2 linked regions of the Anolis sagrei genome follow. The protein of the gene in region 1 interacts with the protein of each later gene in a pairwise test. Links are inferred from orthologs where the notes say so. Each region holds a gene or a part of one and is shown on either strand. Other genes may lie near its edges.

Region 1 (7,899 bases):
TTTGGGAGTTGTAGTTGCTGGCATTTATAGTTCACCTACAGTCAAAGAGCATTCCGAACCCCACTAACGATGAAATTTAACCAAACTTGGCACACAGGGCTCCCATGACCAACAGAAAATACTGGAAGGGTTTGGTGGGCACCGTCCTTTGGTTTGGGAGTTGTAGTTCACCTACATCCAGAGATCACTGTGGACTCAAACAATGATAGATCTGGGCCAAACTCGACACGAATACTCAATATGCCCAAATGTGAACACTGCTGGAGTTTGGGGAAAATAGAATCTTGACATTCGGGAGTTGTAGTTGCTGGGATTTATATTTCACCTACAATCACAGAGCATTCTGAACCCCACCAACAATAGAATTGGGCCAAACCTTCCACACAGAACCCCCATGTGGGCCACAGCAACGCGTGGCAGGGGACGGCTAGTTAATAATAAAAGGATTGTTTCTGTTTAAACTATGAACCTATGGGTTTCCAAGGGAATAGGCATGTCAAAGGATAATGACATAATTACATGCTTTATCTGGCAAACACTCTCTTGCATTGCATTTAAGAAGTCATAATAAAACGTATTTAGTCTTCAAGGTGCCATTTGCTAATCTGAGGACAGATAAGCAGAGCTCCCAACATATGGCATTGAAAACTGCTCAAGATATAGTATAATTCTTGACTATTAAATAGCACTCTCGTGCGCATATTAAAACACCTTAAATGTTATCTCTGGGTGAACTCATTTGGGTGTGGACTTCTAAAGAAAAGGCCGGGAGGGGCAGAAATGCAAACATGTCAGACAAGGAATGCCGCCTCAATTGTAGTCATTAGACAAACAAAACTTTGGCTGTGATGACATCCCTCTGAAAAGATGAGTTGAAAACAAGTCTTGAGATTAGAAAGAAAAACCTTTATCGCTGTGCAAACAATAGCAAAGCAATAAGGCAGAAGGAGAGGCTTGATATTATTCTCTTCTTGGTCACCTGGGTGCATCTACACCAGGCCTGGGCCAACTATGGGCTCCAGGTGTTTTGGACTTCAATTCCCACAATTCCTAACAGCCGGGTTGACTCAGGCCTGATCTACATTGCAGAATGAATGCAGTTTTACACTATGTGAACTGCCATGGCTCCATGCTGTGCAATCATAGAATTCATAGTTTGGTGAGGCACCGGAAATCTCCAGCAAAAGAACATGTAAAGCTAAAACTCCTTATTATTCCATAGCATTGAAGCATGGCAGTTAAAGTGGTGGCAAACCACATCAATTGTACAGTGCAGATGCACCCTCGGTCTCTTCAGGAAAATCGTGGCAAGAAAAGCCTGTCACAGAATCAAAGAGTTGGAAGAGACCTCATGGGCCATCCAGTCCAACCCCATTCTGCCAAGAAGCAGGAATATTGCATTCAAATCACCCCTGACAGATGGCCATCCAGCCTCTGTTTAAAAGCCTCCAAAGAAGGAGCCTCCACCACACTCCGGGGCAGAGAGTTCCACTGCTGAACGGCTCTCACAGTCAGGAAGTTCTTCCTCATGTTCAGATAGAATTATTATTATTATTATTATTATGTTTATTGACATCCTGCTTTTTCTCTCCATAAAGAGACTCAAAGCGGCTAACATTAAAAGCATTACAATTTAAAACATACAAGCATACAATATAATAGTAATAACAAATAATAATAACCAATATATGATTATGATGTTTTATTTATATCCCACTTTTTTATTTATTTACTTATTATATATTTCTAGATCTGGGGAAGTAATGCTCCCCATGCTCTATTCTGCTCTGGTTAGACCACACCTGGAATATTGTGTCCAATTCTGGGCACCACAATTCAAGAGAGATATTGACTCTAAGCTGGAATGTGTCCAGAGGAGGGCGACTAAAATGATCAAGGGTCTGGAGAACAAGCCCTAGGAGGAGCGGCTTAAGGAGCTGGGCATGTTTAGCCTGAAGAAGAGAAGGCTGAGAGGAGATACGATAGCCATGTATAAATATGTGAGAGAAAGCCACAGGGAGGAGGGAGCAAGCTTGTTTTCTGCTTCCTTGGAGACTAGGACGCAATGGAACAATGGCTTCAAACTACAAGAGAGGAGATTCCATCTGAACATGAGGAAGAACTTCCTGACTGTGAGAGCCGTTCAGCAGTGGAACTCTCTGCCCCGGAGTGTGGTGGAGGCTCCTTCTTTGGAGGCTTTGAAACAGAGGCTGGGTGGCCATCTGTCAGGGGTGATTTGAATGCAATGTTCCTGCTTCTTGGTAGAATGGGGTTGGACTGGATAATGGCCCAGGAGGTCTCCTCCAACTCTTTGATTCTATGATTCTATAAGTACAAGTTACTAAAATGATCAAGGGTCTGGAGAACAAGCCCTATGAGGAGTGGCTTAAGGAGCTGGGCATGTTTAGCCTGAAGAAGAGAAGGCTGAGAGGTGATATGATAGGACGCGGAACAATGGCTTCAAACTACATGAAAGGAGATTCCATCTGAACATGAGGAAGAACTTCCTGACTGTGAGAGCCGTTCAGCAGTGGAACTCTCTGCCCCGGAGTGTGGTGGAGGCTCCTTCTTTGGAAGCTTTGAAACAGAGGCTGGATGGCCATCTCTCAGGGGTGATTTGAATGCAATATTCCTGCTTCTTGGCAGAATAGGGTTGGACTGGATAAAGGTCCATGAGGTCTCTTCCAACTCTTGGATTCTATGATTCTAAGAAACTGAAAGTGGCTAATTTTAAAAGCACTGCATTATTATTATTATTATTATTATTATTATTATAAATAATTATTTTGTTGTATTTATCCCTCGCTTTTTTCTCCATAAGGCAGGCTCTGGGACAGGGTGTCTGTCACAATGACTGACAGGCCTCAAAGGATGCCAATTGTATGCAAGGCCATTTGGAAGCCTTCTCTTCGACTACAAAACCACCCACAGCCCTGCGAGGTGGGCCTCTTCGGAGGCGGTTCCTTCCCCTTGGGCCCAAGGCAGGCCTCTGATTCCCCTTTGAGGCCCACATCCCATAATATGCCCCTTTATACTCACCCAAAAGGGAGGAGGGGGGAAAAAAAACCCGAGAGAGGGCGTCCCTTCAGCCCCTCCACAACACCCTCAACCGGCCATTTTGTAAGAGCTACGACCTCGCCCCGGAAACAGTCTCCACCAAACAGGAAGCCGATAGAGACCACCGACGAAGAACAACAGAAACCGCTACTTCTGCACATGCGCAGTGGTTGGCTGGAGACGGCGGAGCACACTGCGCACGCGCCAAGGAGGTCTCCTCTCTCGGTTGGGAAAGGTTTCTCCGCGACTCGCTGAGCTCAAGAGTGCGCATGCGTATAGAGGGGACAGTCTATAAATGATTCAGTGGGCGGGGTGCATGCAAATGAAGGGGCGGGGAAATGCAAAACGAGTCCTGCTTTGGAGTCCAGAATGGGTTTCTTGGAGGAAGAACCTTGTGTACATTTTATTTCTTTTGCATAATTATAATAATTTTTTGCAACATAATAATATATAGAAATAATGACATTGTAATGTAATAGTACTATTATATTATATATAATATTCATGTCGTTGTATAATATATTCTATATATTATATAATATAATACTATTATATATGATATTAATGTCATTATATAATATAATCTATATATTATATAATATAATACTATTATATTATATATAATATTCATGTCGTTATATAATATATTCTATATATTATATAATATAATACTATTATATATTCTATATATTATATATAATATATTCTATATATAATATAATATAATACTATTATATATGATATTAATGTCTATATCATATATTCTATATATTCTATAATATAATAGTATTATATTATATATAATATTCATGTTGTTGTATAATATATTCTATATATTCTATAATATAATAGTATTATATATGATATTAATGTCATTATATAATATATTCTATATATTATATAATATAATACTATTATATTATATATAATATTCATGTCGTTATATCATATATTCTATATATTATATAATATAATACTATTATATTATATATATTAATGTCGTTATATCATATATTCTATATATTATATAATATAATAGTATTATATTATATATAGGAGCCCCTGGTGGCGCAGTGGGTTAAAGCACTGAGCTGCTGAGCTTGTTGATCGAAAGGTCGCAGGTTCGATTCCGGGGAGCGGCGTGAGCTTCCGCTGTCAGCCCTAGCTTCTGCCAACCTAGCAGTTCGAAAACATGCAAATGTGAGTAGATCAATAGGTACCGCTCCGGCGGGAAGGTAACGGCGCTCCATGCAGTCATGCTGGCCACATGACCTTGGAGGTGTCTACGGACAACGCTGGCTCTTCGGCTTAGAAATGGAGATGAGCACCACACCCCAGAGTCAGACATGACTGGACTTAATGTCAGGGGACTACCTTTATCTTTACTATATTATATATAATATTCATGTCATTGTATAATATATTCTATATATTATATAATATAATAGTATTATATATGATATTAATGATTATATAATATATTCTATATATTATATAATATAATACTATTATATTATATATAATATTCATGTCATTATATCATATATTCTATATATTATATAATATAATACTATTATATATGATATTAATGTCGTTATATCATATATTCTATATATTATATAATATAATACTATTATATATGATATTAATGTCGTTATATCATATATTCTATATATGATATAATATAATAGTATTATATTATATATAATATTCATGTCGTTGTATAATATATTCTGTATACTACAACTTGTGATCTTGTAATGTAATAACACTATTATATTATATATAATATTAATGTTATATAATATATTTTATATACAACTTATGATATTGTAATGTAATAATACTATTATATTATATATAATACTAGCTGCCCCCTGCCAGGCGTTGCTGTGGCCCAGTCTGTTGATCTGGAAAATAAAAGGAATGAGAAAGTGTTGGTTTCTAATATATGTAATTTCTTTATGCTTGTGGGTAAAGAGTATTTCTTGTTGTTTCTTTGTCAGTGTTGTGGTTTGCCCACCCTGGAACATGCAACATATCACTGTCCTTCTTTAAGGGTCCCTTTCAAATCTATGATACTATATCTGTGTGAATCATATCATATCATATCTATCTATCTATCTATCTATCTATCTGTGGAGCCCCCGGTGGCACAGTGGGTTAAAGCACTGAGCTGCCGAGCTTGTTGATCGAAAGGTCGCAGGTTCGATTCCGGGGAGCGGCGTGAGCTTCTGCTGTCAGCTCTAGCTTCTGCCAACCTAGCAGTTCGAAAACATGCAAATGTGAGTAGATCAATAGGTACCACTCTGGTGGGAAGGTAACGGCGCTCCATGCAGTCATGCCAGCCACATGACCTTGGAGGTGTCTACGGACAACGCTGGCTCTTCGGCTTAGAAATGGAGATGAGCACCACACCCCAGAGTCAGACATGACTGGACTTAATGTCAGGGGACTACCTTTACCTTTACTATCTATCTATCTGTCTATCGATCTCTATGGCTGGATGGCTCTTTGTCAGGAGGACTTTGTTTACGTGTTCTTACCCTGATGAAGAGAGTTGGATTGGATGGCCTTAAGTATTTTCTGTTGGTCATGGGGGTTCTGTGTGGGAAGTTTGCCCCGATTCTGTTGTTCGTGGGGTTCAAAATGCCCTTTGATTGTAGGTGAACTGTGAATCCCAGTGACTACAACTCCCAAATGTCAACTCCAAAAACTCAAGGTCAATGTCCACCAGACCTTCCCAGTATTTTCTCTTGGTCATGAGAATTCTGCGTGCCAAGCTTGATTCAATTCCATCATTGGTGTTCAGAAGACTATTTGATTTTAGGTGAACTATAAATCCCAGCAACTCCAGCATTACCAAATGACAAAAATCAATCACCCCCAACCCCACCAGTATTCAAATTTGGGCATATCGGGTATTTGTGCCAAATTTGGTCCAGTGACTGAAAATACATCCTGCATATCAGATATTTATATTATGATTCATAACAATAGCAAAACTACAGTTATGAAGTAGCAACGAAAATAATGTTATAGTTGGGGGTCACCACAACATGAGGAACTGTACTAAGGGGTCGCGGCATTAAGAAGGTTGAGAACCACTACTCTAGATCATAGAATCACAGAATCAAAAAGTTGGAAGAGATCTCCTGGGCCATCCAGTCCAACCCCATTCTGCCAAGAAGCAGGAATATTGCATTCAAATCACCCCTGACAGATGGCCATCCAGCCTCTGTTTCAAAGCTTCCAAAGAAGGAGCCTCCACCACACTCCGGGGCAGAGAGTTCCACTGCTGAACGGCTCTCACAGTCAGGAAGTTCCTCATGTTCAGATGGAATCTCCTCTCTTGTAGTTTGAAGCCATTGTTCCGCGTCCTAGTCTCCAAGGAAGCAGAAAACAAGCTTGCTCCCTCCTCCTCCCTGTGGCTTCCTCTCACATATTTATACATGGCTATCATGTCTCCTCTCAGCCTTCTCTTTTTCAGGCTAAACATGCCCAGCTCCTTAAGCCACTCCTCATAGGGCTTGTTCTCCAGACCCTTGATCATTTTAGTCGCCCTCCTCTGGACACATTCCAGATTATTAAATATGGTTTTCTGTGGATGAGCAGATGGTGACTTCTGGATGGCATGTGTTTTGTATCGGATACTAGAGCTGATGTTGTCTATCCAATGCAAATTTTCTGAATCAGCATGCCAAATAACCAAACCGAATCTAAAGTTGGCCAAAAACTGATTTGTAACCCTTTTAGCACTAATGTTGGAGAGTGGACCCTGGTCAAAGTGGCCCCTGGTCAAAAAAAAAAGTTTGGGAACCACATATTCAAAAGGATATACATTTCCCCCCCCCCCCCCCCCGCCCCCGGTGGTGCAGTGGGTTAAAGCACTGAGCTGCTGAGCTTGTTGATCGAAAGGTCGCAGGTTCAATTCCGGGGAGCGGCGTGAGCTTTCGCTGTCAGCCCTAGCTTCTGCCAACCTAGCAGTTCGAAAACATGCAAATGTGAGTAGATGAATAGGTACCGCTCCGGCGGGAAGGTAACAGCGCTCCATGCAGTCATGCCGGCCACATGACCTTGGAGGTGTCTATGGACAACGCTGGCTCTTCGGCTTAGAAATGGAGATGAGCACCACACCCCAGAGTCAGACATGGCTGGACTTAATGTCAGGGGACTACCTTTACCTTTACCTACATTTGTCCCATTTTTCTGCTTTTGTGCAGCTTTTCTGTTTTGCCACAGGGTGGCAGCCAATCACTGAATATGGAGACTATCAAGAGAAAAAGATTTCAATACAAAGTAGGTAGCAAGTAAAATAATACATTCAAAAAAGTGATATATTTTCCCAGCATCTGGCCATGATATATATATATATTTAATGAGCGGATATATAAAGTGGGGTTATAGCCACAAAAAGCTTGTGCTAAAATAAAGCACTCTTAAAGTCTTTCTCCCCTTCTCTTCCTCCTTTTAACATTCCTAAATATTGTTTATTTGTTGTTGGATATTTTGATTCATAGCAAACATCTCACAGCGTCTTTGGGGTTGAGAGAGCGCGACTTGGTTGGGGTTTCATGGCCAAGCAGGGATTCGGTCCCCAGACCCATCCACACTGTAGATTTAATGCACTTTAGCACCACTTGAACTGGCAGAATTCTACAGTCCTGGGACTTGTGCACTTTCATATCATGCAGCTCAATTGCACTGAATTGCATTATATCATGGCATGGGCTCCTATAATGCAGGTCAGTGCAGTTAAATTGCATTATACGAGCCTACAGTTCAGTGCAGTTCAATGCTGTTAAACTGCATGATATGGCAGTGTAGGCTCCTATAATGCTG
Region 2 (7,668 bases), on another chromosome or scaffold:
CTCACACCAGAAGCGACTTGCAGTTTCTCAAGTCACTCCTGACACGACAAAAAATATTTTTTTGTATTTTTATGTTGTATATTTGCATTGCTATAATTGCTGGACTTGGCCTCACGTAAGCTGCCCCAAGTCCTCTTGGGGAGATGGTAGCGGGATAAAAATAAAGTTTTATTATTATTAAGACTGATATTTCAAATGTAATTTCTGTTGCTTATGGTACAAAGAGTATGTCTAATTGAGACTCGTGCGCCAACTGCAACCGTACCTCGCGAAGGCTGATCTGGCCGGGGTGGTCCATGCCTTGGTCACCTCTAAATTGGACTACTGTAATGCGCTCTATGTGGGGCTGCCTTTGAAAACTGCTCTGAAATTTCAATTGGTCCAACGAGCAGCGGCCAGGATGTTAACTGGTGCTTCTTACAGAGAGAGGTCAACCCTTCTGATCAAGGAGCTCCACTGGCTGCCGTTTATTTTCCGAGCCCAATTTAAGGTGCAGGTGCTTACCTACAAAGCCCTGAACGGTTTGGGACCATCCTACCTGCGTGACCGCATCTCCGTTTACGAACCCACGCATTCACTTCATTCATCTGGAGAGGCCCTGCTCGTGTCCCTCCTGCGTTGCAAGCGCATTTGGTGGGGACACGAGACAGGGCCTTCTTTGTGGTGGCCCCTCGACTCTGTAACACCCTCCCCAAAGATCTTAGACAGGCCCCTACATTGGCAGTCTTTAGAAAGAACTTGAAGACCTGGCTGTTCCGATGTGCCTTCCCAGAATAGGAAATCTCCAATACCAAGTCCCAGAAGCACTTTATTAGAACTAAGATTGTGGAACGCCCTTCCTGCGGACATTAGGCAGGCACCATCTCTCATGGCATTCCGAAAAAAGTTGAAGACCTGGATGTTTGTGCAGGCGTTCGAGTAATCTAGTGCAATATTGGTAACTGAACATAGGAATGGAACAATGGACGAAGAACCTGGACTACGCTTTGATGATGAGACGATTGGGCTGGTTATTGTAATAACTGTTTAGTGTAATTGCTTGTTGTTTATTAACTGGATAATGTGTTAAGTGGTCAATTGTTATATATGCATTGAATTACTGCTGTTTTTATTGTGCGTAAACCGCTGTGAGTTGCCTTCGGGCTGAGAACAGCGGTATATAAGCAAAGTAAATAAATAAATAAATAAATAAGGTTGCCGCACACTGCACTTACCCTATAATCCTTATATACCACCTGTCACATCAGCACTTTTAATTCTGTACCCATTACTCTGGCCCGGCCCAGTTTTATTGTGTTTTGGTGTATTGTTTATTGTTGTTGCTTTGTTGTCTAATATTGCTTTAATTGTTTTTGTATTGTTTTGGTGTGCATTGAGGCCTTGGCCTTTGTAAGCCGCATCGAGTTCTTCGGGAGATGCTAGCGGGGTACAAATAAAGTTAATAATAATAATAATAATAATGTCTAAAAGAAAAGGGCGGAGAGAGGTAGAGAAAGTAAATTAAAATGGACATAATTAAAAAAAACTTGGAACCAAAAATAAAAGAGATATTCTGGGTTATATGCAGGCGTGGGCAAACTCCGGCCCTCCCTCCAGGTGTTTTGGACTTCAACTGCCACAATTCCTAACAGAGGTTCCGTCCTGGGTCCAGTCCTGTTCAACATCTTTATTAATGACTTAGATGAAGGGCTAGAAGGCAGGATCATCAAGTTTGCAGACGACACCAAATTGGGAGAGATAGCCAATACTCCAGAGGACAGGAGCAGGATTCAAAACGATCTTGACAGATTAGAGAGATGATTGGCCAAAACTAACAAAATGAAGTTTAACAGTGACAAATGCAAGATACTCACTTTGGCAGGAAAAACGAAATGCAAAAATATAGAATGGGGGACAATGCCTGGCTCGAGAGCAGTACGTGTGAAAAAGATCTTGGAGTCCTCGTGGACAACAAGTTAAACATGAGCCAACAATGTGATGTGGCGGCAAAAAAAGCCAATGGGATTTTGGCCTGCATCAATAGGAGCATAGTGTCGAGATCTAGGGAAGTAATGCTACCCCTCTATTCTGCTCTGGTTAGACCACACGTGGAATATTGTGTCCAATTCTGGGCACCACAATTCAAGAGAAATATTGACAAGCTGGAATGTGTCCAGAGGAGGGCGACTAAAATGATCAAGGGTCTGGAGAACGAGCCCTATGAGGAGCGGCTTAAAGAGCTGAGCATGTTTAGCCTGAAGAAGAGAAGGCTGAGAGGAGACATGATAGCCATGTATATATGGAGGGAGGAAGGAGGAGGGAGCAAGCTTGTTTTCTGCTTCCTTGGAGACTAGGACGCGGAACAATGGCTTCAAACTACAAGAGAGGAACATGAGGAAGAACTTCCTGACTGTGAGAGCCGTTCAGCAGTGGAACTCTCTGCCCTGGAGTGTGGTGGAGGCTCCTTCTTTGAAAGCTTTTAAACAGAGGCTGGATGGCCATCTGTCAGGGGTGATTTGAATGCAATATTCCTGCTTCTTGGCAAGGGGTTGGACTGGATGGCCCATGAGGTCTCTTCCAACTCTTTGATTCTATGATTCTATGAGTTGAAGTCTAAAACACCTGGAGGGAAGGCCGGGGTTTGCCCATGCCTGGTTATACTGCTGTGCAGAAGGGCCCTTGGTGCAAGACAACTTTCCCCCCAGAAACACCTCCCTAGCTCCAATTCCCGCACTGGCCTCTAGGTGGCGACGTCGCACAACTGCCTCCCTCGGGGAGAAAGAAGAAGCCGGTATACCTGACGACGGGAAAGGCAGCAGGCCTGGCTTTTGTGAGGGATGGAGGGCTGAAGGGCGGGCCCTACGAGGGGAAACCGACCGAGGCCTGAGCCGTGACTCACCCCAGCCGGCTGTCAGTCGGGCGGGATCCCCCAAAACCGCCACCGCCACCTCCGCCGCTTCTTCCCGGCTTCAGCTCCCTAGCCTGACTGAGCAGCCCGTGGCTCCGCCCCCTCTCCTCACCGAAAATGGCGGCCCCTCCCAGCCCACAATGCACCGCGCGCTGGCCAAGACCATGACGTCAACTCCTCTCTCTCTCTCTCTTGCTCCCTCGCTATAGTAAGGGAAGGCAAGCTGAGTGGCAACGCGCATGCGCCAACGCTGATAGGAGGGTTGCTTTAGAATCATAGAATTATAGAATCAAAGAGTTGGAAGAGACCTCATGGGCCATCCAGTCCAACCCCCTGCCAAGAAGCAGGAATATTGCATTCAAATCACCCCTGAAGCTCTCTTCACTCACAGGCATAAACAGTGATATATGTATATATATACATGCATACAAGCATTGATTAAAGTCTTGAAAGGTGATGCTGTCAAGGGGTGCATGCCATATGCCAGCAAATATGGAAAACACAAGAATGGCCATCAGACTGGAAAAAATCAACTTATACCCCCATACCAAAAAAGAGAAATGCTAAAGAGTGCTCCAACTTCCGTACAGTGGCCCTTATTTCTCATGCCAGTAAGGTAATGCTCAAGATCCTGCAAGGAAGACTCCAGCAATACTTGGAGCGAGAGTTGCCAGACGTTCAAGCTGGGTTTAGAAAAGGTCTGCATAGTTAAAGCAATGCTATTCCCCGTAGTCACCTACGGATGTGAGAGTTGGACCATAAGGAAGACTGAGCGAAGGAAGATAAATGCTTTTGAGCTGTGGTGTTGGAGGAAAGTTCTGAGAGTGCCTTGGACTGCGAGAAGATCCAACCAGTCCATCCTCCAGGAAATAAAGCCCGGCTGCTCATTGGAGGAAATGATAGTAGAGGCAAAGATGAAGCACTTTGGCCACATCATGAGAAGAAAGGAAAGCCTAGAGAAGACAGTGATGATGGGGGAAATGGAAGGAAAAAGGAAGAGGGGCCGACCAAGGGCAAGATGACATCCTTGAAGTGGCTGGATTGACCTTGAAGGAGGTGGGGGTGGTGATGGCCAACAGGGAGCTCTGGCATGGGCTGGTCCATGAAGAGTTGGAAATGACTCAACGAATTAACAACAACAAACACACGCATTGATATATACATGCATACCAACATCGCCCAGATATGCATTTCCCAATGTTGCCCCTCCACACAAAGCCACATGTAACTGAATTATATAGTAGTGTAGACTCAGGGCCCTTCCACATAGCCATATAACCCAGAATATCAAGGCAGAACATCCCACAATATCTGCTGTAAACTGGGGTATCTGAGTCCACACTGCCATATAATCCATTTTCTCCTCTCTGCTCTGGGCTCCAGATGTGTTTAATGTTTTAGTTCAAAGCTGTCCATGATTTTAAGTTGCCCAATGAAGGGAATGTGTGCCAAGTTTGGCCTGCATCCTTCAAACTATCTAGGAGCCTTTGTGGTACAAATTTACAAACATACACTAAGTGGAATCCTATAGTTTTGTGACATTGAGTCATGTTGTTTATAGTGGTGTCAAACTGCATCAATTCTGCAGTATAGATGCACCCTTAATGTGATAAGGATATATATATATTTAATTTAATAAATAAGGGGCTACAATCGATAAGGCTCTCTGCCTAGTAGAGGACAGATGATAAGTCCGGATGATGGGGACTTCAAGCAAATTTTGGTCTTCGGACCGAAGTAATTTCTGGGGTTGGTAGGGGGATAAGCGGGTCCTCAGGTACGCCGGCCCCAGACCATATAAGGCCTTAAGATGCTAGCTCATGATCTCTCACAAACATGCTAGAATGCCAGAATTCGGAAATGCAGCCTCTTTTATACAGAATAATTTCAAATTTCCCACTGTGGCAGCATCAACTGTAGAGAAGCCCATTGGATGACCCTCCCAATTCTGACCAATCACAGAAAGGGGGCTTTGCTGAGCAGTCAGCTTGTGAAGAGACAAAGGGCATTGAGTGGCGATGAATGGGTTTCCCTCTATTCAACAGGAAAAATAATTAAAATGATTGAGGGGTCTTGGCCCTACCCAGGAAAAGTTTATTGTGTGCACGATAGTCATGGCAGAGCCCCATTTTTGGGGGGGGGGGGCGCGACCCAGAGGCTCTGGATCATGGTAGCTCAAAACAGGACATATTGGCACAATCATGCAAATGACAGAGGAGACGGTTCAGGTTTCCTTCCGTGGCAAGAGGTCCCACACAGAAAGGCGCATTTGTGAAAAGTAGCTACTTCCCCCAAAGCGGGTAGGAAGAGGCAATGGGGCCATCTTGTCCTGTGGGTTTATTTTGTGCATTCTTGGAAGGCATGAGATAAACCCACTACTTCTGGTGTTTGGACTGCTCCCTCAAAAGTTCTGGACTTTTGATGGGGCAGTCCAGATAGTAGTCCCACAGCTTTCCAGGCTAAATTAGTCCGGAAAACTGCAAGCCCTCCTCTCCAAAAACTCTGAAAAGCTGTTTACAAAACAAAAGAACTTACCTGACCTCCATTAGAGAGCTGTCAGGAGAAAGGGGGGGGGGGAGGAAAATCCAGGAGAAGGGGGGGGGGAATCGCTCCTGCCCCCCTTCTCCTGGTACTTCATTTCTACACTCCAGGAGAGCCCAGGCAGCTATCTAATGGAGGCCAGGTAAGTTCTTTTGTTTTTTAAGGGGAGGAGGTGCTCCGGGTGCTGTCTTGGAAAGTTCTGTGAGAACATCTGGACACCCATCCCAGAAAGCACATGCTTTCTGGGGTGTGTGTGGATTGGGGCCCAGGAACATTCACATTTTTAAAACACAAATGCTCCTAGGATAAAGGGCTGTGTGGAAGCGCTTGTAGTTTGAACTGCATTAGATGACAGTATAGATTCAGCCTTAGGCCCCTTCTACACTGCCATATAAAATCCAGATTATCTGTTTTGAACTGGAATATGTGCTATTGTAGACTCATAGAATCCAGTTCAAAGCAGATAATGTGGATTTTTGCTTTGATAATCTGGATTATATTGAAGTGTAGAAGGGACCTAAGAAGAGTTCTAAATCCTCCGTGCTGACATTATAGTAATGTCTGGCAGGGTTTCCTCATTTCAATAGGGTTACTAGGATCATCTAGGGCGGCAGTTCCCAAACTGTGTTCCGCAGAAGCCAAGGGTTCCACAAAAGCATTAGTAGGGATTCTGCGAAAAATCTTTGAATTACTTTTTTAAATGCCCATGCCAGAATATGAAGAACTTATTGAAATTCAATGTACATCTGATTTAAAAATGAAATTTGAATCCGTGCCACTGAATGGCTTTTGCGTAAGACTGATAGACGTATAGCTGTCAGTTGCTGCCGATCCAGCTTTTCAGCTTACACCAAATCAATTTTAATTGGATGCCACCCCAAATCTATGTATTCAGCTGTAAGGAATAAAGCCCAACTTCAAAACTATTTTAAGTACAAAAATTAAACAATTTATTTTGTCACTGTAGATGTGAATCCAATATTTTCCTGTACCAAACTAAATGTATATGGTTATAGCCAATATTTTCCAAATAAAAAGGTTTGTGGTTATATTTAAATTTATTTATCTTTATATCCAAACTTACTACATTATACAACACACTTAGGCCCCTTCTACACTGCCATATAATCCAGATTATCAAAACAGATAATCCACGTTATCTGCTTTGAACTGGATTATATGAGTCTACACTGCTATATAATCCAGTTCAAAGCAGATAATATGGATTTTATATGGCAGTGTAGAAGGGGCCTAACTGCATTGGCAGTGTAGAAGGGGCCTAACTGCATTATATGACTCTACACTGACCATATAACCCAGTTCCATCTGCATTATAATGCCAGTGTTGACAGGGGCCAAAGATATTCATATCATGATCTGATCACCATACTCAATATATCCCATATGCATGGGGGTATTGGGGTAACGATACAAAAGGTTTGCTAGGGTAGACCCTCTTTCACTTAGACTCAGCCCCCCCCCCCCGAAACAAACAGCCCCCCCCCCCCGAATCGAAATCCTGGCTACAGGCCTGAGCCCTTTCTTTATAGAATTCATTGTCTTGAGAATTCTACATTTCAGAAAATATTTCAGAGGAACTCAAAGTGCCACCACAAATCATTGCTGTCAACATTGGGCCACAACAGGTAGGCAGCTTGGGTGTCAACACTGCCCTAATCTAGCAGGAATCATAGAAGCCAACCTTGAAAGACCTGTTATATTAGCAACTTGTGGTCTGCAGATCATGATTTAAATGCCATCAGACTCATCCTATTTCCCCAGGCTGGTGTGGTGAAGACTAAAAATGTAATGCTGGAAAATTGCCAGGACTTGCAAGGAGTAAATGTCAGTTTCCTTAAAGGGATGCCAGATGAGCTGTAAGGTGAGCCCTTTTCTTTGGATCCAGCATTGGGGAGGAATTAGTAACTTGCAGTTTGATGAAATTTCTGGAGACAATCAGGGATAGCCAAGAATATCTTTGCTTCTATGAGTCTTATAGGGTTGAATATTAATAAGTCCCTCCATGGAGGTAGAGAAGAACGGGATACAAAAGTTCTAAATAAATGAACAAATCTGGGTAGAGTTGAATTTACCCAAATGTCTTTAGGTGCAAATATAGTTTTATTTATTTATCATGTCAGAAACGAACAGAGAGTACAGTTGTAATGTATTTAAAAAACACAAAGTTTTAAAAACTTGGCATTACATTAATGTCCTTTGACCAGTAGCTGACCACTTGG

The links.
Region 2: the proteins of BNIP2 (region 1) and KLC1 interact in binary tests that used the Homo sapiens proteins (3 or more experiments, as listed by UniProt). The two-hybrid records come from large-scale screens. The link is inferred for Anolis sagrei from reciprocal best matches to the Homo sapiens genes BNIP2 and KLC1.

The regions. Positions count from the first base shown.
Region 1 is NC_090029.1:4,524,393-4,532,291, reverse strand, and holds the start of BNIP2 (BCL2/adenovirus E1B 19 kDa protein-interacting protein 2), read right to left. Parts: upstream 3,205-7,899; 5' UTR 3,040-3,204; intron 1-3,039.
Region 2 is NC_090021.1:327,288,188-327,295,855, forward strand, and holds the start of KLC1 (kinesin light chain 1), read right to left. Parts: upstream 3,013-7,668; 5' UTR 2,879-3,012; intron 2,799-2,878; exon of another isoform or gene 2,777-2,798; intron 1-2,776. UniProt on the Homo sapiens protein: Kinesin is a microtubule-associated force-producing protein that may play a role in organelle transport. The light chain may function in coupling of cargo to the heavy chain or in the modulation of its ATPase activity.